Linked DNA regions of Arabidopsis thaliana. The protein of the gene in region 4 interacts with the protein of the main gene of each other region in a pairwise test. Each region holds a gene or a part of one and is shown on either strand. Other genes may lie near its edges. The genes, in order: AT3G09630, AT4G33690, AT3G54390 and AT1G17970.

Region 1 (7,353 bases), on a different chromosome or scaffold from region 4:
GTCTTCGAAGAAGGCATCCTCATCCTGAGAGTAACAATCCAGTCAGTGATATTATCCTATTGACAATATATGTATGCTGAGAGAATCATGGAATGATGAGTTGAACAACTTACTGCAGCATATTTTTCAACAAATGGGAGAAAGAGAGGATCATCAAGAAGAGCCTTGTCGGTTGGTAGTTGAAGAAGTCCTTCTTTCTCTCCGCTTAGTATCTCTCTGTTTAACAACCATCAAGATTCAAGAGCTTCTAATTCAGCTCATGTCCAATTCAAGTATGAGCAAGCAGAAGCAGAGAATCTGATCTTACTTGAAATAGGAGTTGTCAAAAATGAGCGGGTTTGGTGTCCATGCACCCTCGAATCCTGAACGCTCCTTGTGGCACCGACCCTGAAAGTAAAAGAATGGTGTGAGCCAGAACTGAGAAAAGCACATAGGTCTTTGTTTCTGGATGCAGCATACATACCAAGGTGTGTCCACCAGACAATGCAACGATATCTTTGTCATTGAGTCCCATCCGACCAAACACATCTCTTAGATGATCCACACCTGAATTTATGATTATGAACATGTATCTACAATCTGATACCTGAATTCAAGCTAAATTCATTTTCATATATCTGCTTTACCTTTGGTGGCCTGAGGCAGACGACCTTCAGGAGGTGGCTCAACTTTGTCCTGAAAGATGAAGTTTGGTTCAGTTAATCACATGAACAAAAAACTTAGCAGTGGTGTCTCATCATCAGTGAGTTGCGTTTTAAAACGAAGAGATAGCTAATAATTGGTAGCCAGAAAACTGAGAAGTTGAATATTGACTCACCAGTCTACCAGGATGAAATGGAATCTCTGGTCCTCCAGTGATCTCAACAGCAACTACTCCAGCTAGCTACAGTAACCAAGAAACACAGATGAATCAAGCCCTTAAAGCCATGCGAAATACAAAGTAAGCTTTTAGATTCAGTATCAATCTAACATGTGTGAATCTAGTTCACTGCAGACAAACCAGAGGGCCAATAGCCGACGGCTCAAGCTAGAGAAGAACCCATTTTAAGTCATAACTTAGCTGTACCAACCAACAAAATCCCTTCCAAATGTTTCCCCTCTCGGTATAATCACTGATGCATCAAAAAACCCTTGATTCTATGGTTCTACCTCAAGTTCCTACTTACTACAGCTTGATGCATCCCTTGCTTCACAATTAGAGGTCAAAAAACTCAGTACATTGTTGAAAATTTACCTGGTAGAAGTCAGCATATGACAGAATAGGGAACAGCTCCTTGATAGGGTCAAGAAGCCTAACGGCAATATCAAGACCATTGTTGGCATCATGGGCTAGCTCTTGGGGATGCCTTATCGTCCCAAACGGTCCTCCTGTCTTCGTCTTCACATCAAATGTCCCAGCCGAGTGCCATCTGCAAATTTCCGCCAACAAAATATGCTCTGAGAAGCCATCAATCGAACAACTCAGTACTCACAGTAACAGAAAAGACTGGAACCAGAGAGAGGATCTTACGCAAGACGGAGGACGATGGGAGCACAGTGCTTCTCGGCAATAAGACCACGGAGCTTCCTCTTGCATCTCTGAACAGCTTTCTTGTACTCTTCTTTCACTTCCGGGTAACTCTTCTTCACCATTTTTTTCAAATTCGCTTCCTTCTGGAAATCGTTGAAGGCTTTAAAACCTAAAGAGAATGGAGAACCTATCGAGATCAATAAGATTACAAGAACATACAAACCTTTAGTTTAAACACAATGATCGATCACAGAAGAAAGTGCTAGTAGTTGTTACTTTAGTATACGGATCAATTTATAAAACTGGCTGATGATCAAAATGAAGCTTCTAGTTTCACTGTTTCAGTCTTCTTTTGGAGATGGACGGTCATGATTTGTAGATGGAAAAAGAAGGACTCTTGGCGCGCCTTCCAGAAACCATCCATAGTAAAGAAGAATAATACAAATTTATCCAACAGATACACACCACGTGTCATTCTGTATTCCTCGAGTATGTTGTACCAACTAATCAAAGCTTCAAATGATCTGTGTGATTGTAGGAAGAAGCGACGTTCTTTTTATACTCATGCTTTACTATCGAGCACAAAAACGTTAGGGTTGATCGACATTTGAATTGGGTTTGAGCTTCACTATCCACCAAAAAGACTTAAGGGTTGATAGACACACTATGCCTTTAAACAGTAAATCAATCGACATATTGATCAATTGAACTTGATTAATGTTTCTGCTGGGGTAAACCAAAGAAAGCTTCAGCTTGTTTTTAAGTAGGTTCATAACATAACAAGCATCATCATAGGAAACGAAGGAGCAAGAGATAAATAAATGAAACTGATAAAGGCGAAGTAAGAAATGGAGATGTAAAAAAGTGAAACTTGTTCATAATTCAACTTGATATCCAGACACCCAAAGACAAAACAGATTAAAAAAACCAAAATCTTTTGACTAAAATATGGAAAGTGTTCCAAAGCAGACGAGATTATTACTGGCTAGCACCGAGCCATTTGGTGAAGTTATCAAACTCGGTGTAATCACTGTCGGAGATCATAGTCTTGTACCACGACTTGCCTGCTGCTTTGATTGCCAACGCCTCCTCCTGATGTAAGAAAAATAGATATTTCAAAGTGGAGTTAGAAAAGAGGACATATGAAGAACAATTTTCACAAGGGACAAGAAAGTGCTAAGAGATTCAATTGCTTAATAGCTCAACCTAAAATCAATATCAAGACAAAGAATCGTACACAACAGATTTACAAGACAAACTACTAGACCACAATTCAGAACAGAAAAGGTAAGATCTAGTAAAGAAAGACTACTATAGTCATAGACTAAACCAGAGGGGAACAGATTATTGTATAGCTTAACATACACAAACTCAGTCAATTAGAACAATTGCAATATAAGTTAAGTCAAATGAAATGCAACCACAGATCAAAATGTAATCAGTAACTAAACAAAGACAATCCAAAAACGGTTGATAAGAGAACAAGTCAAGTATTGAGATTACCTTGGTAACGGTTTTCCTCTTCTTGGCGAGCTTCTCCTTCTTAGCCTTAACTCTCTGTGCTTCAGCTAACAGTGACATCCTCTTCGCGGTCTTAGCATAAGGATTCAACTTCAACATCACATTGAGATTCTTCAATGGATTCTTCTTAAGAACAGCCCTCTTCGCATCCTTCTTGATCGGATTCACAACACTCTGAATCTCATCTGAATTGATAATCCTGGCAAGATCAGCATTCACCATCTTTGCACGAGGAAGCACATACCCCTTCTTCTTCTCTGATGGCTTCTCAAACGAACCATAGATAGACTCAAGCTTCTCAAAGGCAGACTTGGTCCAGATCACAAACCGACCAAGGTGACCACCAGGAGCAAGCTTCAACAAATTAAGCCTCTCCACATGACAAAGCTCAACACCAGGAAGGTTTCTAAACGCCTTAACTATCTTAGATCCTTCAGTTCCATAAACCACCAGAGGACCTTTCCTAGAAATGTAACGACGGTTCCTCATTTTACCTTTACCAGGACGGATTCCAATGCTGTTCTTTGCCTTCTCAGCATCATCATAAGCACCGATCTGTTTCAAAACCTTGATCGCAGCTGAGGTCTTCTCCACAGCTTCGGCGGAGTCACTCACAACAAGAGGCATCTCAGGAACATTCTCGATCTTGTGACCACGAGCCATCACAAGCGCAGGAACAGCAGTTGCAGCGATAGCTGAGACGATTGCGTGACGCTTCATGTTGACATTGACACGACGGTGCCAGCGGCGCCAGATCTTGGTTGGAGCGAACATACGACCACCACGACACATGTTACCGAACGCAGCTTGACCAGCACGGTGAGTACCACCACCGGGAACACGAGGGATACGAGACACGGCACGTCCGGTTCCCCAGGACTCGGCGGAGGTCTGGTGACCGGCCTTCTTCGATACGGCGTATGGCTGACGGCTGTTGTTGGAGATTTGGGCGTGAACGAAGTTAACGATGTCTGGTCGAACTGGCGCCGTCATGACGTCGGGAAGTACGACGGTGGAGGATTGATCGGTGGACATGTCACCATCCAAGGTTTGGATGGTGACGAGAGGACGAGCAGCGGCGGCGGCCATTTGTCTCGAAATGTTTCTCTCTTCTCTCACTCTCCGTCTCTTTAGACTCTTTGAGAAATTAGGGTTTTCTCTCAGCTGAAGTTTAAGAACTAATATATGCTAGGGTTTCGTTAGGGTTACTGCTGAATTAGTGGGCCTTATAATAAAGCCCAATAAACCCAACTAATTTACCTTTCAGTAAGGGCCCAATATTTAAAGTTACCTCCGCTATAAGAACCGGGCACTGCTTTAGCCTTTAACGAACTAGTGGGCCTAATAAAACCCGACTATTTGTCTCTTAACTAAGAGACAATTGACCTAAGTTTTACCAAATTTAAGAGATTTATCTAATATTTAAATTATATAATTTTTTAAATATTTGTTAAGAGTTTTGCTAAGAGTCTACCATTGTGGATGCTTTTAGAATCATATAACAAACATCGTCAAAGAAAACGGTCGACGAAAAAAATAGATAAAAAGAAAAATGATCAAAGTAATGTACGAAATGGAGCGTTAAAGAGTGAAAATTTGCTTTATAGTTCAAATAATCTTTAGTCTCGATCTTGAATGGCAAAATATTTCAAATCATATTCTTTTCCTAAATATGGAAGTGCTCCTAAGCAGGTGAGATATTACTGATTAGCACTGCCACCGAGTCATTTGGTGAAGTTATCAAACTCGGTGTATTCACTATCGGCTTCGTTTTCTATTAAAATGCACACCTCAAAATATTCAGAAAATCTTTACAGTTTTATCTCATTTTTAATCTAAATCAAGAATCGATAACAATATTTTCGGACCATAATCTGAGCAAAAGATAAAACACGGTAATAGTTCTTTTCGTTTGGTTATATTTTCATGTGAATACTGTAGTCGTTTGGGTTTTTGGTCCAGTCCTTTTAGCTTTCAATGCCTCTCTTCAAGTTGGGTTTGATATCCTTTTATTGGGGTTAGGCCTTTTTAGTTTCAATTTTTGAAATTTTGTAATCACCTAGATAGGTTTAACCCATTTTGTAACGTTTTATCTTATGATAAAAAGTCAATAAACAGAAAGACCTTTGGGGGAAAAAAAAAAAAAATTGTAGTCACAACAAATGAAATCCCAACCCACGCGCTGCAGGTCCTCTCAGTTTTTAATTTATGCAAAAAATCCCCAAAAAGGAAGGTTATATAGTCCATGGATTTTAGCCTCACGTGCTCAACGCGCCTGTGATGCGAGTGGTTTGGGGAATGAACTATAAATAATAGGAAATCATTCATGAGATGAAATCAACGAAATGAATAATTATTTTGAATAGAATAACCTTGCGATGTTGTTTAGAAGCCCATGAGGAAAATATCGATTAATAGTGGACCTAACTAAAGCCCAAATAGCCCAATAACTGGTTTTCACTTTTATCTTTTACCAATAAGGGCCCAACCTTACAGCTTTATTATCTCTGTTACTCGACACTAACGAGACGTTACAACGTTACGGTGTAGAGAGTTTTGATTCTTCTGGTAGCTTTGTCTTCTTCACCGCAACATTTTTAGGGTTATCGTTGAAGCTTTTGTTTGGCGGATGAATTTGATTTGAATTTGGGTTTAAGTTACGGAATTTTCTATCGGGATTTGTTGCGTTTGAGATGATGTTAGAGAAATCTAAGTCCAGGAAGGAAAATGATCGCAAAGATCGTGATCGCAGTAAGAAAGAGAATGGTCGGCGAGATACGACGGAGATGCGCTCGAGAGTTAAGAGATGCGATTCTGAGGAAGAGGAGAGGATACGGATACGGAGGGATAGAAAAAGTAGCGATTTTGAAGAAGAAGAATACGAGAGGGATAGTAAACGCAGAGGGGAGGACAAGGGAAGAGGACGCCGAGAACGTGACAGAGATAGAGGAAAATATCTGAAAAGGGACAGAGAGAGGAGAGAACGTGAGAAAGAAAAGGGTAGGAAGAAACAGAAAAAGGAGAGGTCACGTGAGGATTGTAATGAAGAGAGTGATGATGTCAAGTGTGGCTTGAAACGCAAAAGAACGGAGCGTAGCAGGCATGGAGATGACGATGTTGAGAAGAAAACTCGGGATGAACAAGTAGAGGATGAGCAGAAGCAGTTGGCTGAGGAAGTAGAAAAACGGAGGAGAAGAGTCCAGGAGTGGCAAGAGTTGAAGAGGCAAAACGAGGAAGCTCAAATTGAAAGTAAGGGTCCTGAGACCGGTAAGGCTTGGACTCTTGATGGTGAATCTGATGATGAAGTTAAATCAGACTCAGAGATGGATGTTGATCGTGATACTAAACTCGAAAATGGTGGAGATGCCAAGATGGTCGCCTCGGAGAATGAGACAGCTGTTACTGTCTCTGAGAATGGAGGTGACAGAGCTGCAGATGAAGACGAAATTGATCCCTTAGATGCTTTTATGAATACTATGGTATTACCTGAGGTTGAAAAGCTTAGCAATATTGTGATCGATGGTATTTTGGATTTTAAAATGAATGGGAAGGAAACTGGTGACCAAGCCAAAAAAGGTTTTAATAAGGCCGCCCTTGGTAGGATAATTCAAGGTGAAGATTCTGATTCAGATTACTCAGAACCAAAGAGTGATGATGATCCAAGTTTAGACGAAGACGACGAGGAGTTTATGAAGAGAGTTAAGAAGACAAAAGCAGAGAAATTGTCTCTTGTTGACCACTCCAAAATAGAGTATGAACCTTTCCGGAAGAATTTTTATATCGAAGTCAAGGATATCTCAAGGATGACACAGGATGCAGTGAACGCTTATAGAAAGGAATTGGAGCTGAAAGTTCATGGGAAAGATGTTCCAAGACCCATTCAATTTTGGCACCAGACTGGATTAACTAGCAAAATTTTGGATACTCTGAAGAAGCTTAACTATGAAAAGCCAATGCCTATCCAAGCACAAGCACTTCCAATCATCATGAGCGGTAGAGACTGCATTGGGGTTGCCAAAACCGGGTCAGGTAAAACCCTTGGCTTTGTTTTGCCTATGTTGAGGCATATCAAAGATCAGCCTCCCGTTGAAGCTGGTGATGGGCCGATTGGGCTTGTAATGGCACCTACTAGAGAACTTGTTCAGCAGATTTACAGCGATATCAGAAAGTTTTCTAAGGCATTGGGTATAATATGTGTGCCTGTGTATGGAGGATCTGGAGTTGCCCAGCAAATCAGTGAGCTTAAGCGAGGTACCGAGATTGTTGTTTGTACTCCTGGAAGAATGATCGATATTCTTTGCACAAGCAGTGGAAAAATTACC
Region 2 (7,090 bases), on a different chromosome or scaffold from region 4:
TTGCTTAGTAAAGTTTTGTTATTTCACTAAATTGACAGTTTTTGATTGGCCTACACGTGTGTGGTTAGATGTTGCGATGGTCTTTTTTTGTTTGTGATGTTCATATTCGAATTTGGTTATCAGTTAGTTCATCTATTGGCCGTTTTGATTAACTTTCTAAAGCATTTGTTCAAATTAGGTCGAGTTTGGTTTCTGTAATATTCAATTGCTGCGTGTTAGTTTATACTGGTGAAGATTTTGGTCTTATCACAACTTTACTAATCAAGACTAGATTACCCTTTTATCATTTTTTGCTATCTAAGCCAGAGCCTCCAAGTTTAATGACATAATAGCTGTTATGTCATCGATGATTCAGTTGTTGTGAGCAGCCTGCTTTGATCTAATTCATGTCTTTTTAGGCTCTGTCTCTCTGTTAATGATGATCAGAGTTGTTTTTGTTTGCTGCAGCAAAGATATTGCCAGTGGTAAAGAATCAGCACTTGTTGCTTGTCACTTTACTTATATGCAATGCAGCTGCTATGGAGGTAATTACAAAACTGAATCTTAGCCTCTGTGATTATTTATAGGTTTCAGGAATGGTGTTTGATGATAGTGATGATTTATCTTTTCAGACGCTTCCTATTTTTCTTGATGGCCTTGTGACGGCATGGGGTGCCATTTTGATTTCAGTTACATTGATTCTTCTCTTTGGTGAGGTAAGATTAGCATTTCCTGTAATATTCAATAAGGGAAACGACTATGAGCATTTTGAGTCACTTTCCTGTATATCAGATGTGAATGCATGCAAATCAGGATACTAACATTGATGGTTGGCTTTACTGCAACTGCAGATTATACCTCAGTCGATTTGTTCACGTTATGGTTTAGCGATTGGTGCAACAGTGGCTCCGTTTGTCCGTGTCCTAGTCTTTATCTGCTTACCTGTTGCATGGCCAATAAGCAAGGTAAAAACACTTTACCGATTTCCGTAGGAGCCAGTGCCCCCACCAATCATGCTCGTTGTTATAATAAATTTTTGCTCCTTTGAATAATCCAGTTGCTGGACTTTCTATTGGGTCATCGTCGTGCAGCGCTTTTTCGAAGAGCTGAGCTGAAAACACTTGTGGATTTTCATGGAAATGAGGTATGCATTGATCCCATCTTCCATATTGAAAAGTTTATGTACCCCTTCTATCTATGTCATGATGTTTAGTGTATTGTTTCTTTCAGGCTGGAAAGGGTGGGGAGTTGACTCATGACGAAACGACAATCATTGCAGGAGCTCTTGAACTCTCTGAGAAAATGGTCAAAGATGCAATGACACCAATATCGGATATCTTTGTGATTGATATCAATGCCAAACTAGACAGGTTTTGTGTTGTGATTCCTTGGAGACCTAACTTATCAGAAACACACTTGCCTGGAGTCTTTATACTTCTCATGCTAAACACTTTTCTTTTCTTTGTTCCTCTGGTATAGAGACTTGATGAACTTGATTCTTGAGAAAGGGCATAGCAGAGTTCCAGTATACTATGAGCAGCCAACTAACATAATCGGCCTTGTTCTGGTAACTCCCAGTCTCATGCATTACTTCCACAATTTGACTCGCTTCTCTGTGAAGTCATTTTTCACAAATATTTTCCTCTTTAGTGTTATGGTTCCACTTCTAACCATTCATATCTATTATCTTCAGGTGAAGAACTTATTAACTATCAACCCAGATGAAGAAATACCTGTCAAGAATGTCACGATAAGAAGGATTCCAAGGTGAAACTTCCAAATCTAAGTAACTAAGCCCCACTGAATGTGCTTCAAAAGCTGATTTCTTGCTTTGTTTTAGAGTTCCAGAAATCTTGCCTTTATATGACATATTGAACGAATTCCAGAAAGGACTCAGCCACATGGCTGTTGTTGTAAGACAGTGTGACAAAATCCACCCATTACCTTCTAAAAATGGTAAACTGCTTCATTAATCGACAAAACAATGTCTTGCTGAGTTACAAGTATTGAGAATCTTTGCTTTGGTTTCTAATAGGGAGTGTTAAGGAAGCCCGAGTGGATGTGGATAGTGAGGGAACTCCTACTCCTCAGGAGAGAATGTTAAGGACAAAAAGATCGCTTCAAAAGTGGAAGAGCTTTCCGAATCGAGCAAGTTCGTTTAAAGGAGGGTCAAAGAGCAAGAAGTGGTCAAAAGACAATGATGCAGACATCCTGCAATTGAATGGCAATCCGCTGCCTAAACTTGCTGAGGAAGAAGAAGCAGTCGGAATCATTACGATGGAGGATGTCATTGAAGAACTTCTGCAGGTAAGGAATCTTATATAAGTTAAAAACAAAAATTCTTTTTCACGGATTAATTATTGCTTGGCTTGTGGTTGCAGGAGGAGATCTTTGACGAAACTGATCACCATTTTGAAGACTCCTAACACAGAGTGCATGACCACTGAACTGGTTATGAATGTCGAAAACTTTAGTCTTTGTTTTCAACTTTCAAACTGTCACTTGTCCGGCGAATGTGTATCAATGTAGGCATGAACAACAACTTTTTCTATGGTTTCAAGATGTTTTCTCTCTATATATATATCATTGGTCTCTAAGATATGTCGCTCTCTCCTTTCTTCAAAGAGTTTTACCAAATCTGAACCCTCATAGGCCACACCAATAGTTGTCTCTACTACCTATATATCATTAGTCTCTAAGATATGTCACTCTCTACCTTACTTCAAAGAGTTTTTATTCGCATTTTACTAATACAAGAATTAATGAAATATGATCATCTTATGGATACAACATCACTGCCGGTGTAAAAAGGCAATTACTTTTGTCCGGAAAGATCTAGTCCCTACCATATTTTCTCTTCTTCCTATCCCTTTTCTTCTCTTTTGACTTGTGTTTCTTACTAAGTTTCTTCTTATGCTCCTTTCTCTTTCTATGAGCCCGTTTGTAAACTTCCTCCTCGTCGGAAGAAGAAGAATCTGTCCTACGTCTCAATAAAGGTGATCGCTCTGGCTGAATCACTAGCTTCCGATCTCCTGTATCAGAAGTTCTTGACAATTCCCTCTCAGGAAGACAGGGTAGCGGTTCATCCATCATAGCACCAACAGAACCTCTGCCACGCTTGACCCTATCATAGACCAGAATCACAAGTTTTATCAGCAAAAGCCGATCCCAAATTCGATCATTATTGTAAAGGAAATAATCAGGCAGCATCTGAGTATAATGGAAATACCTTGATTGGAGAAAAGTCTTAACCTCGACATCTCCTAAGCCTTCATCATCATCATCCTCTGATTGCCATCTTTTGCTTCTGCTCCGGCTTGATGATGGTGATAAACTAGTAGTAGTAACATTCTCATCAACTGAAGTACATCTCTTTAAAAAATCCCTCCTATTGTTCTGCTCACTTTGACCATTGCTGCTCTCATCTCTTGATTTTCTTTTGAGCCTTTCACCAAACTCAATCTCTTTACTCCGAAGACTCCACATCTCATTGGTTTCCACAGCTTTGTTTGCTGAATGGAATAAAGAAGAAACAAATAAGAGATAAACTAAAAAAAAACTAGATTTTGTTGGATAGAAGCAAAGTCTGTCAACAAAAGATTATACCTTGCTGAACACCAAGAACTGTAGCAGTGAGAAATCTAGAGTTAGGTCGATGCCTTACATTAGGCTTCTCAAGATATGCTCTGACGCCATCTTTCTCAGCTTGTCTCCTCAATTCTGCTGCTTCTCTTAAAAGAATGGAAGCTATTCGATTTTCAGTTTCCAGATCCATCTACTCCAAGGTAAAACAAAAAAGTATAAGCCTAATCAAGTTATGTGATCAAATCAATCTGGGTAGATCAAACAAAGATGGAGTTGAACTTAATTCGACCACTACAGCTATCTAAATCATTGCTTCTTAATCACAGAACTTCCACTAAAGCTACGTTCTTTCGACAACGAAATCAACGAAGCAAAACAAACAAAATTACGTAAACACACAACAATCGAAAAGGGGATTTTTGGAGAACCCTATTGGTCGAGATTAATTACCACGAAATCGAATTGACTCAGATACAGATATCTAGTAGCAGCTTCACGAAATCGTGCGATTCCTCGGCGTTTTCCAGCAGGCGCAGAGCAAAATCATTGTCCGAGCCAGAGAGAGAAATAAATAAATTGAACTGAATTGGAAAATTCCCAAAAATTTCTAGTAAAACCGAACCGGAACAAACCGGATTAATTTCCTCTCAGACCAAACCGAAGAAGAACCCTAGTTTTATCAGTCTCACCAACTATCTCCCATGGTTCATTTGCTCTGCAAATTTGTCTGAAAAAATCTTTGTGCGAAGCAGGAAAAATGTCGTCGACCCATCAGTTAGTTTCTTCGATGATCTCTTCTTCCTCATCCACTTTCTTAGCCCCTTCAAATTTTAATCTCAGGTGCGTCGTTTTGTTTTCTTTTACTCTCTGTTTGCTACTGATATAATCTAGTGAGGATGAATATGAAATTGGATTCATTTCCAGAAATTAATTGTATGTTATGAATTTACTTGGAAATTTCAATCCTTTGGTTTTTAAGTCGATGTTGGATGGTGTTGTTTGGCCAGAGAACAGTGCATTTGCTTGTGATGATCATTGATTCATTTTTTTATTGGTTTGCTTTCCTTTTTGGCTTCAGAACTCGAAATGCTTGCTTACCCATGGCAAAACGGGTCAATACTTGCAAATGTGTTGCTACGCCGCAAGAGAAGATCGGTAATGTTCCTACTCCATGTTGTTTTTGCTGTAATGATTAGTAACATAGTTAATGATTTATCGTCTTTTAGCTGTTTATCTGTTTCTTACAATACATGATTTTGTTTTCTGTATGTAGAGTATAAGACCAAAGTGTCACGGAATTCAAACATGTCCAAACTTCAGGCTGGATACCTATTCCCGGAGGTTTGTTACCTGTTACTCTCTTGGTACTACTATTTAAGATTTCAAATACCTAAAGGAGTGGCATTTCAAGTTAACATTTTTGAAAGCTTCTAGTGATCTGAAATATTATAACTATCTGTGTAATAAGTTAATATATCCTCATTGATTCTGTATATAATGCTCCTCTCTCTTATTTTTTTGTGTGGATGCAAACAGATTGCAAGAAGAAGGTCTGCACACTTGTTGAAATATCCAGATGCACAAGTTATAAGTCTTGGAATAGGCGACACAACTGAGCCAATTCCTGAAGTGATCACTTCTGCTATGGCAAAGGTACCTCCTTATCTTAACTTAGCTTCATGTGCTCTTTGCCCTTCTCTGGGCTCTAGCATATTTTAAACTGATTTTACTAACACTGCCCTAACATGTATTATTTCGTTCATTTTGACAAAAATGTATAACATATTTTCTGTTTTGGCGTATTTGGATTATTAAACGAGAACTTCTCTGTAATCTAACAATGAAAATTATTCTGGTAGCATAGTTTTTTTGTTTGCTATACTATTCACACAGGCATGTAATCTCTAGAGATTAATCATGTTTTTTTTCTCTGACAGAAAGCTCATGAGTTGTCAACAATAGAGGGATATAGTGGTTATGGTGCTGAACAAGGTGCAAAGGTCAGTGCACCCTTCATTTCCACCTTATTGCGTTGTTATCATTTCTTTATTATCTGCCTTTGCACGTCACTTCAATTTTATTATGGATAGTCTTGAACTGCTGCTAAATTCAAGAGAAGATGGATTTAAACCTGTTTCTTACATGTAAAATCTTAAAGCTTAATCTGTTAAGTTTTTATCCAAACTAACCTTGATTTCACATATGTGAAAAGCCACTGAGAGCTGCTATTGCGAAAACATTCTACGGTGGCCTTGGCATAGGGGATGATGACGTTTTTGTTTCTGATGGAGCTAAATGTGATATCTCACGTCTCCAGGTTTGTTTTATTGCTGACTATTCATCTGTAATTGATACAAGATTAAGAAATATGAACAGCTGTTTCTTGATTCCACTTCTTGCAGGTTATGTTTGGTTCCAATGTTACAATTGCTGTTCAGGATCCTTCATATCCGGTAATTGGGCATATAGAAACCAAATTGCAGTTGTAGTCTTCTCTACTTTTGCTCCATTTTAACGTGGAACTATGCTGTCTCGTTTTTTTTGGATTATACAGGCTTATGTGGACTCCAGTGTTATTATGGGTCAGACTGGGCAATTTAACACTGATGTGCAAAAGTATGGAAACATCGAGTACATGAGATGCACTCCAGAGAATGGCTTCTTTCCCGACTTGTCCACCGTTGGCAGGACAGATATAATTTTCTTCTGTTCCCCAAATAACCCTACGGGTGCTGCTGCCACGAGAGAGCAACTAACGCAGTTAGTTGAGTTTGCAAAGAAGAACGGTTCTATAATAGTGTATGATTCCGCCTATGCAATGTACATGTCTGATGATAACCCACGATCCATCTTCGAAATCCCTGGAGCAGAGGAGGTAATAGACTGATTGATTATAACATTAAAAGGTCCATTTTTCAACATCTTTCTTCATGTGTACAACCGCTTACAGGTCGCTATGGAGACAGCTTCGTTCAGCAAATATGCTGGTTTCACTGGAGTTCGACTTGGTTGGACTGTCATCCCGAAAAAGCTACTCTATTCAGACGGTTTCCCTGTTGCCAAAGACTTCAATCGGATTATCTGCACTTGTTTCAATGGTGCATCTAATATCTCTCAAGCTGGTGCTCTTGCTTGCCTTACACCCGAAGGACTTGAGGTTAGCTTAGCTAAAGAGAGATCTCAAACCAGTTCCCACTAGTTCAGATATGCAAAATGATTTATTTTGTTGTCTTTTGAATCATTGCAGGCAATGCATAAGGTGATTGGATTCTATAAAGAAAACACAAACATAATCATTGACACATTCACATCTCTCGGGTATGATGTATATGGAGGAAAGAATGCGCCTTACGTATGGGTTCACTTCCCGAACCAAAGCTCATGGGATGTGTTTGCTGAGATTCTGGAGAAGACTCATGTGGTTACAACTCCAGGAAGTGGGTTTGGACCAGGGGGTGAAGGGTTCGTTCGTGTCAGTGCCTTTGGTCACAGAGAGAACATCTTAGAGGCATGTCGAAGATTCAAG
Region 3 (7,010 bases), on a different chromosome or scaffold from region 4:
GCCGCTGAAAGGGTTCTGCAAAACTAGCAAGAACACAGAAAGAGAGTATAAATGCCGTTGGTATTGGAAAAAAATGAACCTCATTGCATAGCAGCTGGTATCTCCCAATAAGTAGTACAAACTATTCATCTTGACCAATAAGTTATGGATTCTAATTTGCATAGATGAAGAATTTCAACATCAAATTTCTTTCAATAACAAGTTCTCTCGAAGAATAGATACGACATGTCAAATATAGAAAGCTGAAGGTGAAAGTTTCCCACATTAGCACCAGAGACATGAAAACTCAAAGCTGTACAATGTGAACCGCACCTTTTTGACAGCTATCTCTGTGGATGATTTTGAGGGGTTTCCATAAAGCCTCTCAAACACTGCAAGATCACGCAGGCGTTCTCTTGTGACTCTTTCCCTCTCTATTGATACCAAAAACAACATATTAGATGAAGCTGTACACACTCTTTTTGGTACTTCAAGTGTAATTTTTTACCTAAACCCCTAGCAAAAGATAATTCTTTGTTCTGAACTGCCGATGCACGGAAGGATCATGAATTGATGAAGGGAAAGTACCTAATTGACCTAAGAACTAGATCAAATCCAATTCAGGTGCAGGATAGGGTTGAATTTTAGCGGAATCTCAGGTCAATTGGTAATTTATCTGCAGCTAACGTAGTTCGATGATTACCTGGGCACATAGAAGAACAAGTTCCTACAATCAATGAAACGTCAGCAGGATCTTCGTCTTTATGTTTTGATTCGTCTTTTTCATTGTTTCGTTTGTGCGGTGCATCGGATCTTCTCTGAAAGGATTCATTAACTCCGCCGCCGGATCCAGTCCTCGGGTTATCAGAGAACTGGCGGTTCCCATAAGTATTCGAAACCCTAGAAGAAGAAGAAGAAGAGCCACGATTACGACGATTCATGGCTTAGAGGGAACGAGATCTTCTTCCCTCCCAAGTCCCAAACCAGACTCTGAAGAAACGAACCAATCAAAGCTGTTACCGAACTATTATTTGGAATAAACCGGAAGAGAACCAAATCCGGTACAGTACTCTCAGCGAATTAAATCTGGCGGCAACCGGGTCAATTTAATTTACACCGGTTCTGACTTGTACACAAATTTGCATTTCTACAAATGCAGCATTCAAAATTCAACTCAAGTAAGAATCTAGAACATTTCACATTTCCCTACACTTTGTAATTTACATATATAGTTTTGGAAAATTTGATTTTAAGTTTTGTTTTGTTTTTCTTTCCGGTTTTGCAGATTTTCTTTTTAAATCGATACCAAATCAAACCTTTCGTATACGGTTTGGTCTTTTTTTTTTGGGAAGAATATATGGTTTAGTCATTTGTGCAATTACGATTCGGTTCTGTTTTGTTTTTTTACAAACAATAGTCTAGTTAGATATATTTGAAGGAAATCAATTTTGATTTTGTCATTTGAGCATTTCATTTTTGGTGTTATTCTATTTTTTCCCACCCCTATACAGGCAAGCTTAGGCCGGTTGGTGGGTCTAGTAGTCACGGCCACTCTCTAGACAGCAGAGAACAATGTGTCCACCACTACAAATTTAGGTTTCTTTTCATCAACTATCCCTAACAAGAATCTAACTGCTAACATTCAAAACACATAGACTAGAACCACTAATCATACTATCATAGTGCAATTTCCCATCCAAAAAAAACTCCATATTAGAAATGCAAAGAGAAAAAGCTGGTTCATCTCCACTAATACTAGACAGTTGTCTCGCATTCTTTTGCTAAGACTTATTTTCTCTTTCACTACAATCTCTAACACGACCAAACTGATCGAACCGAACTATCTACCAAGCATTCTCTGTAAATCTCTACCTGAAGAGTTAAAACACTTAAACACACACAAATTTGAGACAGTATTAGCATCTCTTTGACTAAAGATTGATGATATTCATATGGCAAAAGCATACATTTGCTGGTAGAAATGTGGAAATCGCCATCTACCCCAGGAAACAATTATTGGTCTCTCTCTGAGAAATTTTGACAAAACAACACTTGGTATGTACACACAACATCTTGAGTCTCCAATATAAAAAGCAGAACTCAATTTCTTCCGATCCTTAATGAAGAATCAACACCTTTGTTCTGTCCAGAAGAAGCTGCAGCAGCAAAGATTCTAGCAATCTCTAGCTGAGTATTCGCCATTATCTCCGTCCGTTTCAAATCCAATTCTCCTCTCTTAGCTTCAGCTTCAGCTCTCATTCTCTCTATCTCTTTCATCGTCTCCATTCTTGCTCTCTCTGATCTCATCACCACCTCCGCTAACCACCGTATACTTCCGGCGATCTCTTCCTTCTCTTCTTTATATCTTCTCTTCACTTTCTTCCCTCTCACCTTCGTTTTAACCACAGGCGTACTACTGTCTGTATCCATCTCCGCATCTTTTTCCGGTTTGTTCTCCGGCTTGAATCCGTCTTCCTACACACAAAATAACTTCATTAGAAAATCTCCCAAATTTGGTTAGTTTAGGTGATCAGACCTTAGGAATCTTGCCGACGCCGTTGGATCCGTAAGAAATCTGCGGCGGATGAGCCACCGCAGGCAACGGCGGCTCAAGTAAGAGCAGAGGAACAGAGCAATTCAGAGGCAGAACAGCTTGAGGCTGAGGCTGAGGCTGAGTTCCACGTAGGAGATGATCAAGACGAGGATAAAGAGGCCAAGAGGAGCCATCAGCAGTAGCGGACTCAGAACGGTACCGTTTCTTCATGGACTCGATCTTGTTCTTGCACTGAGTCTGAGTCTTTGGTGACTTGGTGTGAGTGGCGCGTGAGGACACGTGTTTAGCCACGTCTTCCCAGTCTTGTCCCTTAAGCTTGGCTCTGTTTCTGAGAACCCATTTTGACTCATAAGCTTCGAGTAAAGTCGAAACAGCTCCTTCGCTCCATTCATCACGTTTTAACCTATCTACAACGACGGAGGAAGCAGATGGCTTCTTAAGCGATTCGTCGTGGTTGAGAGATTTGAGATTTTCTTGGTTAGATTCTCCGTTCTCCATATATTTTTTCTTCAGGTGACTAAAAACAGAGACAAGGACTCAAGAGTGTGATGAAAGGAGAAAGAAAGAGAAGATTTTAGCAAGTCTTTTGATAAAGATGGGAACCTTTTGAGAGAGTGAATGGAGTTAAACATATGAGAACTGTGTAAGAATACGCTGCTGCTCTCAAAACTAACCAATGAGTTTGGGTACACGCGTTTCTCGCATGTTCAATGGTCGTGCCTCGTGACTTAAAGCTAATGAAATTATGTTTTTCACTTATATTGTTACTGTCATTTTAGTCTTTGTTCCAATTTATGGTTTGTATAAAGATTACAAATACAAACAGAGAAACGCATAATTGCACCGGCTTTATACTTACCTTCACAAAAGTTAGTGGAGCAACCCGTCACACACACATACTATAGAGGAGAATAAAGAGAAAAATGTGAGAAAGTGGGTTACCATTGAAAAATAGGGTTTCTTTTCTTTTATTTGTCAACTTGAAAAAAGGTTTTACTTTTGATTTTATTTTTTCACAATAATGATTTCAAAAATCTTCTGATGCAAATGCTTTTATTCATTTAGCTATAAAAGCCTTTTTGTATGCTTTTTTTCTCTTTTTAGGTGTATGGTGGAGTGAGTCTGGCTGTTAGCGTTGATGTCAAGCCAAACCGCAAAATCCATTTGGCAAAGATGGGAATGAACCTAATGGAAGTGGGGTTTACACTTGTCACTCTCTCACCCATTCTATGTTCCACTCTTTTTCTTCTCTCATGTTTGCGCAAAGATACTAATTCGGGGTTGTTCCTTTTTCACTTATTGAAAGTGTATATCTTTCAAAACATTCAGAAATTTTGTGGGTTAGTGTTCACTAAAATCTTTGGTTAATTATCAAGTCATCCAAATATTACAAGTACCAAATATTAGGACAAGTCTTTAATTTTCACACCTTTTTTCTTACCTATATGAGAGAAGTTTTGTTGTAAGAGTGAATGTGTTTCCTCGTTAGTGGAGTATGATGAACTATGCAACTTCAAGGCAGCACATCGGACATTTTGGGGTCTACAAGATTATCATCGTAGATTTTTAACGCGCCATTTAGAACTTCTCAGTCTCATTTGGGTGATGAAAATGCCTTCCAAGGCATAATCATTTTTTGTTGACATTTTGGTACTTTCTCATGAAGTTGATGCATATGATTATACTTGGAAGTTGGAACATATATATATTTAAAATAATAAAGGTCCTCTGTTCCAGGCTTATTGCATCCGCAAATTCATGAGTACAATCCTTTTTGAACAGAGAACATCGAAAGAAAATCATACGAAAGATTTTACAATCGTTTGAGAATTAACAAAAATCATTAACTTATATAGTTTCCAAAATTCAAAAGTTCAAAACGCATTACGAAATCGACCGAAAACAAAAATACAAATCGATAAAACTTAGGTGCAAGTTTCACGGGAAATTCCGAGCCTGGAATTTGGAACGTCGATGAGAACTCGGTGGTTCTGTTGCTGCATACTAGCGATGACGTTAAGGACAGAGTTAACGTTGACCGGAGCTGCAGCCATGGCGAGGCAGCTGAGGTTACCTGCGGAGCTGTGGATGAGAAGGTTGTCTGGAGGCAGAGTCACGTTCATTCCGGCGAACATAAACGTCACCGACGGGAACACGACGGAGCCGGAGTAGCATGTGTCGAAACCTCCTAGTGAAGTTGCGTTTGCGTTCTTAACACGTCTCCTGAACTCGTTTCTCACCGCCACGTAAGCTGGTTCGACTAGCCTTGTGTAGACCGTCCCTGCGTACATTCAAAAGTGTTTTGTAATTAAAAATCAAATTTCTTTTCTAAAATATAATTTTTATATGAAAATTTGGATTGGCCATTTTTGTTTTGATTGTAAAATCATTTTTAGTCCAGAAATATCACGTGTTACGTGTGAGAGAGCAGAGCAATTAGGTTACTTCCATCGCACGACTTTTCAGTTCTCAAGCGAAAAATAAAAAATATTAAGGAGGGTTGAGAAGTCCATACCCGAGTCAAAGATGGTGCCGGCTCCGGTGGCCGGATCAAAGGCGAGTGCACTTGTAGGAATATCCACAATTTTGTTTCCGACACGAATCCCAACCAAGTTAACATAGTAAAGCGATGATCTTCTAGGGTTCTTTAACAATGGAGTGGTCTTGATCCGGATCGGTTGGTTCTTAGGTCCCAATCTTAGTGATCCGGAGAAATTGCTGGACTTACTATTAGGCAAGCAATACGAGAATGTAGACTGATAAAGATTTTGTGACTGTGAGATTAAAGACAATGGACCACGACCTAAGCCCATGAGTCCTTGCGCTGGCAACGATGTTCCACTAGCTTTGTTGATGCACCCAAAGGTGTAGTTTGGGATGACGTCACTGGCCAATGTTAGTGTGTCTTGTGTCAGATATGCTTCGATGGTTGAACCACCGTAGGTCATGTTGAAACCACATGATTTGCTTACTGTGCAACTTGGATTTGGAGCCTGCAATAAAAAAAACTCTTTATTGATTAATATTTAGAATTTTTTTTGTTCTTTGAGTTTAACAACGTATTTCCATAAAGAATTGTTTTATCCATCTTGGATCTGGTTATTAAATTGCGCTACTAACGATGTGTTACGTTATTTAATTGCAGTTGTAAGTGGCGTTTTTGTATTATAGGCAAAACCTAACTAGCATGACGACAAAGTATATATATAGATCAAAGTTCAAACAGTAAAATATGCTCTACTAGTTGGATTGTTTATAAATTTCTTGTATAAATAATAATATACCCGTGACTTAGACTCATGGTACCAAAAGGTCCAAAACCCGTGACTAGACTTCTCGATCATGGTGTAATAACACGCCAAAAACGAAGTTCACATTCACATCTTTTGTGTAGATGGATCCAAAAATTGACGTAGAGGCATTCACATTACGCCTGACATTCGGTTCGTATTTCGGTTTTGGTTTTAAATTTCTTGTTTTGTTAAAAATAATCAAGTCCAAATACTAACCATTTTTTTTCTTTCGATTTGAAACATTTATGTATGTTCTGATTAGATCTTGTTTTGAACAAAGTAAAAATGCGAATTATTTGTTAGTATAATTTAAATGTATTTTTTGTATATCGATTTTCCCGGTTTATTCAGTACAAAAGTATCGTTAAGTATGAATGTATGATATGATTCAAAAAAATTACGTTGAGTATAGTTTTCATTTTTCAAGTCCATCCAGAGAATGCATGCACATATCTAATTTATACGGAGGGTATAACTATAAAGCAATATTTAGTTACCTGTTTACACTGAGGAGCTTCGCATTGAAGAGTACGAGAGGAGCTTGACTTGGAAGGGTCAAAGAGAACAGAGGAAGAACAGCCAACGCAGCCAGAACAAGGAATCCAAGCAGCGTCATTGCTAGTGTCAAGAGCCACGAGCATGGGCTGAGCCGGTGTCCCGATGTTAGCCCTCACGATGTAAGTCGGGCTCTGAACGATGGCCCGACCAGAGGCGATTGGAACTGATGATTTCCTAACGCCAGCGAGGCTTGACAAGTATAGGAAACGAGCCTTATCTTGAAGAAGTGTATCTGCCCATGAAACAGAAGTTTTGAATGGAGAACATAGACTGTTAATGTGGAACACTCTTAGATCTGAGGAATGGCTCTTTTCATTGCAGTTTATGGATTCAGATTTCAAGATTAAGAGAGAGATTAACAAAATCAAGAGATGGGATCTCATTGTTTAAGACCTTGATTTTGTCTTTGTGGTTTCTAGTGTTTGTAGAGTGAATGTGTGAGTGTGTGTTTATATAGTGAGTGATATACGATGAGTGTGTAGAAAGTAATAAGAATATAAAAATGAAGAGTGGGGTTTTGTATATCGTAGAGAGAACAGTCTGTATTCCATCTCCTATTTTTTCGTTGTTTCTATCTGTTTTTTGGGTCCACACTAATATTGGCTCTCTTCTCTATCGACATGCGC
Region 4 (8,297 bases):
TCTAAGAAAATGGAAAGGCTGGGTTGAGTCACGCCTCCGCCAGCTCACACTGAAGGTGAAAAGCCATGTTTACTTTAACTTGAATAGTTTCTCTTGATTTTGCTTTGCTAATGATTTGTCTTGGATGTTTGCATTGTAATCTTAGATCGAGAGACATTTTAAAATGCTTCATTGCCACCCTCATCCCCATGATTTTCAAGACACATCCCGGCCACTCCATTGCTCTTACTTCATGGGTCTGCAACGTAAACAAGGAGTTCCAGCAGCAGAAGGCGAGCAATTCGATATCAGAAGAACCGTTGAGGAGTTTAAACACACTGTCAACGCTTACACATTGTGGATTCCAGGGATGGAGATTAGTGTTGGCCATATAAAACGGAGAAGCTTACCTAATTTTGTGTTTCCTGGTGGAGTTAGACCTTCACATACCTCTAAAGGAACATGGGACAGCAATCGCCGTTCAGAGCACAGAAATTCTTCTACATCAAGTGCACCAGCTGCTACTACCACTACTACCGAAATGAGTTCTGAAAGTAAAGCTGGTTCTAACAGTCCAGTTGATGGGAAGAAGAGAAAATGGGGAGATAGTGAAACACTCACCGATCAGCCAAGGAACTCTAAACACATTGCTGTTTCAGTGCCTGTAGAGAATTGTGAAGGCGGGAGTCCAAATCCATCTGTTGGATCAATTTGTTCAAGTCCTATGAAAGATTATTGTACAAACGGTAAATCTGAGCCTATTAGTAAGGATCCACCAGAAAATGTTGTTGCTTTCAGTAAGGATCCACCAGAGAGTCTTCCGATAGAAAAGATAGCCACTCCTCAAGCTCATGAAACTGAGGAGCTTGAAGAAAGTTTTGATTTTGGAAACCAAGTGATTGAGCAGATATCTCATAAAGTTGCAGTCCTGTCTGCTACTGCAACTATACCTCCATTCGAAGCTACTTCAAATGGCTCTCCTTTCCCTTATGAAGCAGTGGAAGAACTTGAGGTTTCTTATTTTTCTTATCAATTTTCGATACATAAATTGTTCTCTTGATCTTATTCCTCCTGTCTGATTTCTCTTTTGTTGAAAGGTTCTTCCCACGCGACAGCCCGATGCGGCACATAGACCTTCAGTACAACAGCGAAAACCGATAATCAAGTAAGTGATTTTGTGTCTATGTTTACTCTTAACGTTTGAATATACATTTTTGGATTTTGACAAAGATTGTTTGTTTTTGTTTGTCTGATTATTCGCAGATTGAGCTTCACGTCTCTAGGCAAAACCAATGGCAAGTAATAATGGCTTTTCCCTACATTGCCAAGAATCTCAGAGCACTTACGGAAATTCGAGATGTTAAGTTGAGGGGTTCTTGTTACTTTATGTCTTATATTTATATGCTTTTCTTAGATGTTGCATGATCTCATGTAAAACTCGTTTGGATAAGATTAATGTAATGTGTTCTTGTCTATGGATCCCAAACACTTTTTCTGTCATAAATAAAAGTCTGGGTTGAGTTTACTTCACATATATATATAAATGCAGACTCAAACGTTAAAACATTGATTCTTAGTTACGTGCGTGTATGCTATATGCTAAATTACTCTCTACCTGTCTTAAATCTACCTAGGCAACAGAAAACATAGATTTCAAACTCTTGATTTCAATCACATAAATAGACCCAACAAAGAATATAAGATCTTAAAAAAAAAAAATTGTGATTGCTAAATGCAAAAACAACAAATATGAATCAAGTATCAGATGATACAGATCTCTATACAGCAAGGTGGCTTGAAAGATCTTGAGCTATCAGAAACCCGACGAGATACAAAAGTCTTTTAAGGCTTGCCATATGCTGCCTTCTTACAGACCGGACAAGCATTCTTCCTCGAAAGCCATTGTTTCACGCAATGGACATGAAAGCTGTGTCCACAGTTCAATTCCCCAACCTCATCCTCTCTCTCATACTCATCCTGTCACCATCAAACAATAAGGAATAGCATTATGAAACTCATGATCTGTCTGAAGTTTCGAGAAGCCATTGACTCAATCTGGAGTTTACCTGACAGATGCTACATTTTCTATCAACAAGAGTATGTGATACGGATGGTTTGATTTTCCCAAGACAACGATGTATCTCGCTTTCTTTTAGTCCAGTATTCACATAACCAATTCTATCACCAAGCTCAAGAAGTTGCTGCGTAGACCAAAGCAAACACACTCGATAAAGTTGAGAAGATGAGATTGCAAGTGTTTTTCTCATGAGATTTTGAAAAACATACCTCGTATGACATGCTATCAACATCGAGCCTCAATTCGTGGTAGTTATCACGGGAATCTGTTATTCTTCCCATTACAAAACCATTCTGGAGCATCCTCATCTGCAGTGAACAGCAGGAACATGACTACACTAGCTGCATGGTTTAGTTCTTTAACTTGCTCACTTGCTATTAGCCATCCAAAACAGTTTTACAGCACCATACAGCACCAAAGAGAACGATTACATTATTTGTCTTCCACTCTATCAGTCACTAGAATATGTAAGAGACAACTCTAGAATAATCTCTTAGTTGATATGAAGCCAAGTGACAAGTCAAACCTTAACATAGTGTTGAGTGTGATCAGTTAATAAACTAAGAAGTCAAATCTATAACATTTACCAGATGCAAGAAAGACAAGGCAACTATTTGGCAAGAACATTCTACCTCGGTAAGATCATCAGGGTAAGAGCGTGGAAGATGGCCACGACATCTACTTGACAACATCGTTGGTTCAGCGCGTGATGATGTCACAAAAGTAGAATCAGAGTTGAAGATATCATGAGAATGAGTTTCTTGATTGAGAAACCGAATGGGAAGAACAGAAGAACCCTGCAGAACATTTGTAGCATTGTGTTATCATTTCTCAAACACTTAGACATGATGATAGATTCCTAATTTTCAAGTCCTCTGAAGCAATGCGTTTCTTTGATCAAAATAAATCCAACAACTCCCCTAACCAATTGAATCCAACCAAAAAGAAACTTAAACAATGCTAAGATTCCATCCTCTAGCTAAACGAGACAAAAGCATGATAAGATTCCATTCTCTAACCAAACCAGAGTTCGATTAGTTTATTGAGCATCAAACCCAAAAGAACCACCCGCACGTCAAACAAAGAAATTTTCTATATTATCCTCACATGAAACAAAAACTAATAATAGAGAACCGCTACATCTAAAGTAGACCCTTATGATTTGTCTAAACGAGAATCCAAACACATATATTAATAAACCAAACCAAACTAACAATGGCCCAGCAATTGGCATAGAGCTAACTACAACCACTAGAGCTCCAACCACTCCACACAGTTTCTGCCTAAACGATACCATTTCCTCAAAGTCAAAGTCAATAACATAATAACACTAAATTCATCATCCAACTTTAGATCAATTTACCAGTGTGTGATTATAATTGTTGTTATCCACATCAATTTTGCGACGAGACGACGGAATATTCCTTCCCCGAGGAGGATCAACCGATCGACCAATTACAGCATCCGTGGAGAAGCCTAATCCAGGTCTGCACCAAACATCAATAACGTCTCTAGCTTCTTCGCTTAAAATCCTAATCGAACCATCTTCGTAGCTTCCTTTATTCTTCTTTTTCTTTTTCTTATGCTTATGCTTCTTCTTCTTCTTATCTTTTCTAATTCTGGCATCCAAATCCGCGGAGTAGCGAATGACGGAGGGAACAGAAACCTCTTGAGCTGCTGCTGCTGCTGCGGCATAGCAACCCATCCCTCGAAACGACGACGTTTGGTACGGTTTCTTCCTCGTGCTTTCGTTGGAGGAGGAAGTCGGGAGGGGAAAGAAGGAAGACATTGCGGAGTTACAGAAGCGATTAGGTTGTGAAATCGGAAGAACGACGTGGCTTAGCGGCGGATCATCGTCGGCGGCGTGGAGATGACGGATTGTTTGGTTTCTAGCTCGTCGGAGTCTGATGTGCTCGCCGATTGTTGTAGAAGACATTCTCAAAGAAAGAAAGTAAAGGAGATAATGGAAATGTGGGAGAGAGAGAGCGAGACACAGTGCGCGGGGAAGGATGAAAGAGAGTGATTTCAAGCTTGATGATGATGATGATACAGTTTTTGTATAATGATTATAGCTTTTCCTATATAATACTATTAAAGATTTTTTAGTTTTTGTTTTTACATGCAACCATTAGTATGAGATTCCAAACAAAATCAGCTCATGCATATCTTTTGTGAATACTACCAAATTAGAAATAATGATTTTATAAGAGATATTGTTTAGGTTAATTTGAGTATTTCTCTGGGTTTTTAACTTTTTTTGGGCAATTTAGTTTAATGATTTTGCTTATTTTTGGTTTTTCTATTCCAGAAAAGTAAATTTTAAAATTTTTAAAATGATGCTTGCTTGTAAAAATAGGAAAGGTGTCAGTCACTACATGACTCTTTTAAGTCGAAACAATCTTGTTAAATAAATAAAAAGAGAGAGAGTGATTAGATATTATTTTGGTAGAGATAAAGAAGAGACACAAAGTCCAGCTGAAACATCCTACGATAAGCTTAAACATCAAAAGACCACTTCTTTGGTTGGTTTTAATATTTGAACAATCCTCGTATACATAAAGTTGGCACTCTTGAGCTTTGAAGACATCCAGCAAAGCCTTGATGGTTGATGCTCATCGCCACGAAGCCTGAACCGTTTTCCTTTCCAATATTACATTATTGTCTACCAGACCCGGTTCAACCAAATCGAACCCGACTACATTTTTGTAACACGAAACCATCCGAGAACGTTGCAAAACTGATTCTAGCTTCATCATTAATAGGCTTTTAAGAGCCCAAAACTACAAATAATAAGCCCACTTCAAACTGATTTTATAGCTTCCACATTAATAGGCCTAATAATGGTCATTTGGATATTATTGAGAATGCAACAAATATAAATGTGAAACATTAAATCAAAGAAAGTCACGCCAAAATAGGTTATATACATATACTTTTAATTTGCATTTTATCAACAAAACTACAATTCAATTGAAAAGAAATTATAAATATTGTAGAAAATTATTTAAATACAAAAGGAAATTATGTAAAGTTAGGTGCATCTGCCACTTGTTGTTATTACCTTATTACAAAAAATGAAAGGAAAAGCTCTAAAGCTTGGCCCGCAAGTCACTTTAGTGTTGTAGCTATAAAAGGGAAGTTGACCTTGGGATAATCTACTCCTCTGCTCTCAACGTCATCTTCTATATTCTATAGTTTCTATTTGTCCTTCGTTCTCTGCTCATCCATCGATGGCGAATAATCATCATCCCAAGGATGAGGCTTATCTCTCATCCGTCATCCCCAAGCGTATCAGGCTCTTCGAGGAAATCCAAGCCGAGCAGCTTGAGCAGCTTCAATCTCGGCCACACGATCCAATCAAGTAAATACGTTTATGATTAATTGTTCATCATTTTCACTAGGGTGCATCAATTTGTTTGCTAAGCTAGGGTTTTGCAATTAGTTGATTTCTGGTTTTTGTTTCACTGCTTAGGATTACTCTTCTCCCCGACGGTATCGAGAAAGAAGGAAGGAGATGGGAGACCTCTCCAATGGACATCGCAGTGCAGATTTCTAAGGGTTTAGCAAAATCTGCTCTGGTTTCTTCGGTTAATCATGTCTTGTGGGACATGAATAGGCCCCTGGAAGGTGATTGTTCCTTAGAGATTTTCGGATTTGACAGCGACCAAGGCCGTAATACTTTCTGGCATTCTAGCGCCCACATTCTAGGCCAGGCTCTCGAGCAGGAGTATGGATGCAAGCTATGTATTGGACCCTGCGAACCCAGAGATGAAGTAAGAGCTTTGTTCTGTGTTTTTTCCCCTTAATTATGTTTCTTTGGCTAAAAGAGTAAAAAAAGGAGGAGTCAATATTGTTTGGTTCTTGGTATTTCATCTGTAATGTTGCAAAGACGGGCTATCTCTGATGGTAATTGTTATTGCAGGGCTTCTATTACGATTCACTTTATTATGGCGAGCTGGGATTAAACGACAATCATTTTCCAAACATCGAAGCAAGTGTTGCATATATATCTTTTGCTGACATCTTTTTTGTTTTGCGGTATGGAATGTAGAATTACCCATTAGAATGGCCGAATTTGGAGTGTTACACCGAAATGAGGACAGTGGAGCACTTGGTGGAATGACCCGTGTCCGACGGTTTGTACAGGTATGTTTGCATCTTTCTGGACTTTTCTTGTGGTAAAATGTTTAAAACTTAAAAATTGATTGCTTTATATAAAGACTAGCGACATTCAAAATGATATCATGATTAGTTAAGCAGCTTATTTGCCATGTTGAAGTGAAGAAGTTACCCCTTTACTTTACTTTACTTAGTAGTTTGTCAATTTGATTTTAACCCTTTTGTGCGCGTGTTGCTTAATTAAATAACATTGTGCATACTTGTTTTCAGGATGATGCACACATATTCTGTAGAGTGGATCAGGTTTGTGATATTTGTTTCTTATGCAGCAACGTTGGAGCTCCTTATCCTCCCAGTTTCTTATTTTATAGAAATATTCTTATCTATTTGCAGGTTGAGGAAGAAGTGAAGGGTGTGTTGGATTTCATTGACTATGTTTACAGAATATTTGGGTTTACCTATGAACTAACGCTTTCAACGGTAGGATATTTTCACATTTCTTCTCTGCCAAACCTAATATACTTTGCATGGTATGGTCACGTATCTCATTGTTTGCATGTTGGTTTCGACTTCAGAGGCCAAAGGATCACATTGGAGATTTGGAAACATGGGCTAAAGCTGAAAATGATCTTGAAAAAGCTCTAGATGATTTTGGAAAGCCATGGGTTGTATGTGTCACTACTTTCTGATGCTTCTACTCAAAACTTTATAATTCATAGAGAGATTCTAAAGTGTGATGTTTTCTGAAGATAAAGGAAGGAGACGGTGCATTTTATGGCCCAAAGATAGACATAACAGTGTCTGATGCCAGGAATAGGAAATTCCAGTGTGCTACTATACAGGTTAGGCTCCCAAACTCTTTTTAGTTTTTTCCTCTGTTTTTTGTTCTTGATCTCTTACAATAAGATTTTGATCCTTATTTGCTTCGTACCAGCTTGATTTTCAACTTCCGGCTTGCTTCAAACTGAAATACCTAAGTGAAAAAAACGAAATGGAGGCACCTGTGATGATACATAGTGCGGTGTTGGGATCTATTGAGCGTATGTTTGCCATATTGTTGGAACATTACAAAGGAATTTGGCCCTTCTGGCTTAGTCCCCGCCAGGCCATAGTTTGCTCTCTTTCAGAGGATTGTAGTTCCTATGCCAAACAGGTTTTCTTACATTCTTTATTTATGAACCCTCACACCTGCAATTCTTGCAGTGCCTAATCTCTAAGCTTTTTGTTTCCTTTGCACGTACATTCAAACAGGTACAAAAACAGATTAATGAAGTCGGGTACTATGTTGATATTGATGAAAGTGACAGAAGCCTCCGTAAAAAGGTAAATTCTTATGATTACAAGCTTTCCAAATGTTTAGGTCTTTGAGCATATTATACAAGTGAGATTATTTAAGGCCATAAATTTTTATCTCGTAAAGGCTAGTTGTCTAAATTTCATTATAAAATAAAGTCGTTTTTTCTTGGTAGATATGAATGTATATATAGAAATTGCAAAGAAAATGCATAGTTATATGTGTTCACGAGTGTGATGATTTTGTTGTGTTTGTAGGTGGCAGATGCTCGGGATGCACCATACAACTACATACTGGTCGTAGGTCAAAAAGAGGTTGCAACTGGACAGGTTGAGTGTCTCACTTTTTTCTCATGATTCATATCTCTTTGACCATCGAGCTTCTCAAACATTGATTGATCTTTTTGTTTTGTTGGGACTGTAACATTTTCAGGTGACAGTTCGGCTCAGAGAGGACCCTGAAGGCCGTAAAGACTTGCCAGAGATGAGCATCGAAAGTTTGCTTGATGAATTCAAGTTCAAGACAGTCAACTTCCTCTGAGATCCGATGTTTATGGTTTAAAATTTCATTTTTCTGTTGATGATGAATGTATTTCTTTTATAATGGTCTTTTTCATTGTACCAAGACACATTTTGGAATAAAATGTACTATTGAAGTATAATCAACCAATTATCAAAATAAAATCTCGACTTTTGGGACAGTGTTATTTTTGGATTAAGACGCAATGTTTTCTTTGAATTCAAGTTTAATTCAAAGCCAACGAAAGATGTTATGATCTCATAATTGATTTTTTAACACCACTAATGAAAATTTTCAGTTGAATAATCA

What was found.
Region 1: the proteins of AT1G17970 (region 4) and AT3G09630 interact in a two-hybrid assay, tested with the Arabidopsis thaliana proteins (one large-scale study listed by BioGRID).
Region 2: the proteins of AT1G17970 (region 4) and AT4G33690 interact in a two-hybrid assay, tested with the Arabidopsis thaliana proteins (one large-scale study listed by BioGRID).
Region 3: the proteins of AT1G17970 (region 4) and AT3G54390 interact in a two-hybrid assay, tested with the Arabidopsis thaliana proteins (one large-scale study listed by BioGRID).

What each region holds. Positions count from the first base shown.
Region 1 is NC_003074.8:2,950,580-2,957,932, reverse strand, and holds AT3G09630 (Ribosomal protein L4/L1 family), read right to left. Parts: upstream 4,241-7,353; 5' UTR 4,121-4,240; coding exon 3,014-4,120; intron 2,603-3,013; coding exon 2,489-2,602; 3' UTR 2,195-2,488; downstream 1-2,194. Other genes in the region: APX2 (ascorbate peroxidase 2), read right to left, coding at 1-24, 114-216, 308-387, 464-546, 627-675, 818-883, 1,235-1,409, 1,511-1,632; AT3G09620 (P-loop containing nucleoside triphosphate hydrolases superfamily protein), read left to right, coding at 5,725-7,353.
Region 2 is NC_003075.7:16,171,862-16,178,951, reverse strand, and holds AT4G33690 (G patch domain protein), read right to left. Parts: upstream 4,197-7,090; 5' UTR 4,015-4,196; intron 3,755-4,014; coding exon 3,586-3,754; intron 3,492-3,585; coding exon 3,209-3,491; intron 3,104-3,208; coding exon 2,815-3,103; 3' UTR 2,624-2,814; downstream 1-2,623. Other genes in the region: AT4G33700 (CBS domain protein (DUF21)), read left to right, coding at 448-524, 612-695, 831-944, 1,037-1,123, 1,210-1,349, 1,459-1,546, 1,673-1,746, 1,820-1,935 and 2 more; AGD2 (Pyridoxal phosphate (PLP)-dependent transferases superfamily protein), read left to right, coding at 4,322-4,404, 4,643-4,719, 4,838-4,905, 5,101-5,217, 5,502-5,564, 5,777-5,881, 5,967-6,017, 6,119-6,439 and 2 more.
Region 3 is NC_003074.8:20,135,833-20,142,842, forward strand, and holds AT3G54390 (sequence-specific DNA binding transcription factor), read right to left. Parts: upstream 3,413-7,010; 5' UTR 3,166-3,412; coding exon 3,137-3,165; exon of another isoform or gene 3,051-3,136; coding exon 2,516-3,050; intron 2,455-2,515; coding exon 2,080-2,454; 3' UTR 1,906-2,079; downstream 1-1,905. Other genes in the region: SAC3C (SAC3/GANP/Nin1/mts3/eIF-3 p25 family), read right to left, coding at 1-23, 313-413, 683-920; AT3G54400 (Eukaryotic aspartyl protease family protein), read right to left, coding at 4,459-4,814, 5,049-5,526, 6,324-6,767.
Region 4 is NC_003070.9:6,180,727-6,189,023, reverse strand, and holds AT1G17970 (RING/U-box superfamily protein), read right to left. Parts: upstream 4,308-8,297; 5' UTR 3,993-4,307; coding exon 3,420-3,992; intron 2,854-3,419; coding exon 2,689-2,853; coding exon of another isoform or gene 2,617-2,688; exon of another isoform or gene 2,365-2,616; coding exon 2,266-2,364; intron 2,181-2,265; coding exon 2,046-2,180; intron 1,957-2,045; coding exon 1,822-1,956; 3' UTR 1,551-1,821; downstream 1-1,550. Other genes in the region: PAPS1 (poly(A) polymerase 1), read left to right, coding at 1-55, 146-991, 1,077-1,144, 1,243-1,282; AT1G17960 (Threonyl-tRNA synthetase), read left to right, coding at 5,287-5,417, 5,529-5,829, 5,979-6,051, 6,108-6,202, 6,446-6,478, 6,569-6,655, 6,751-6,843, 6,925-7,017 and 4 more.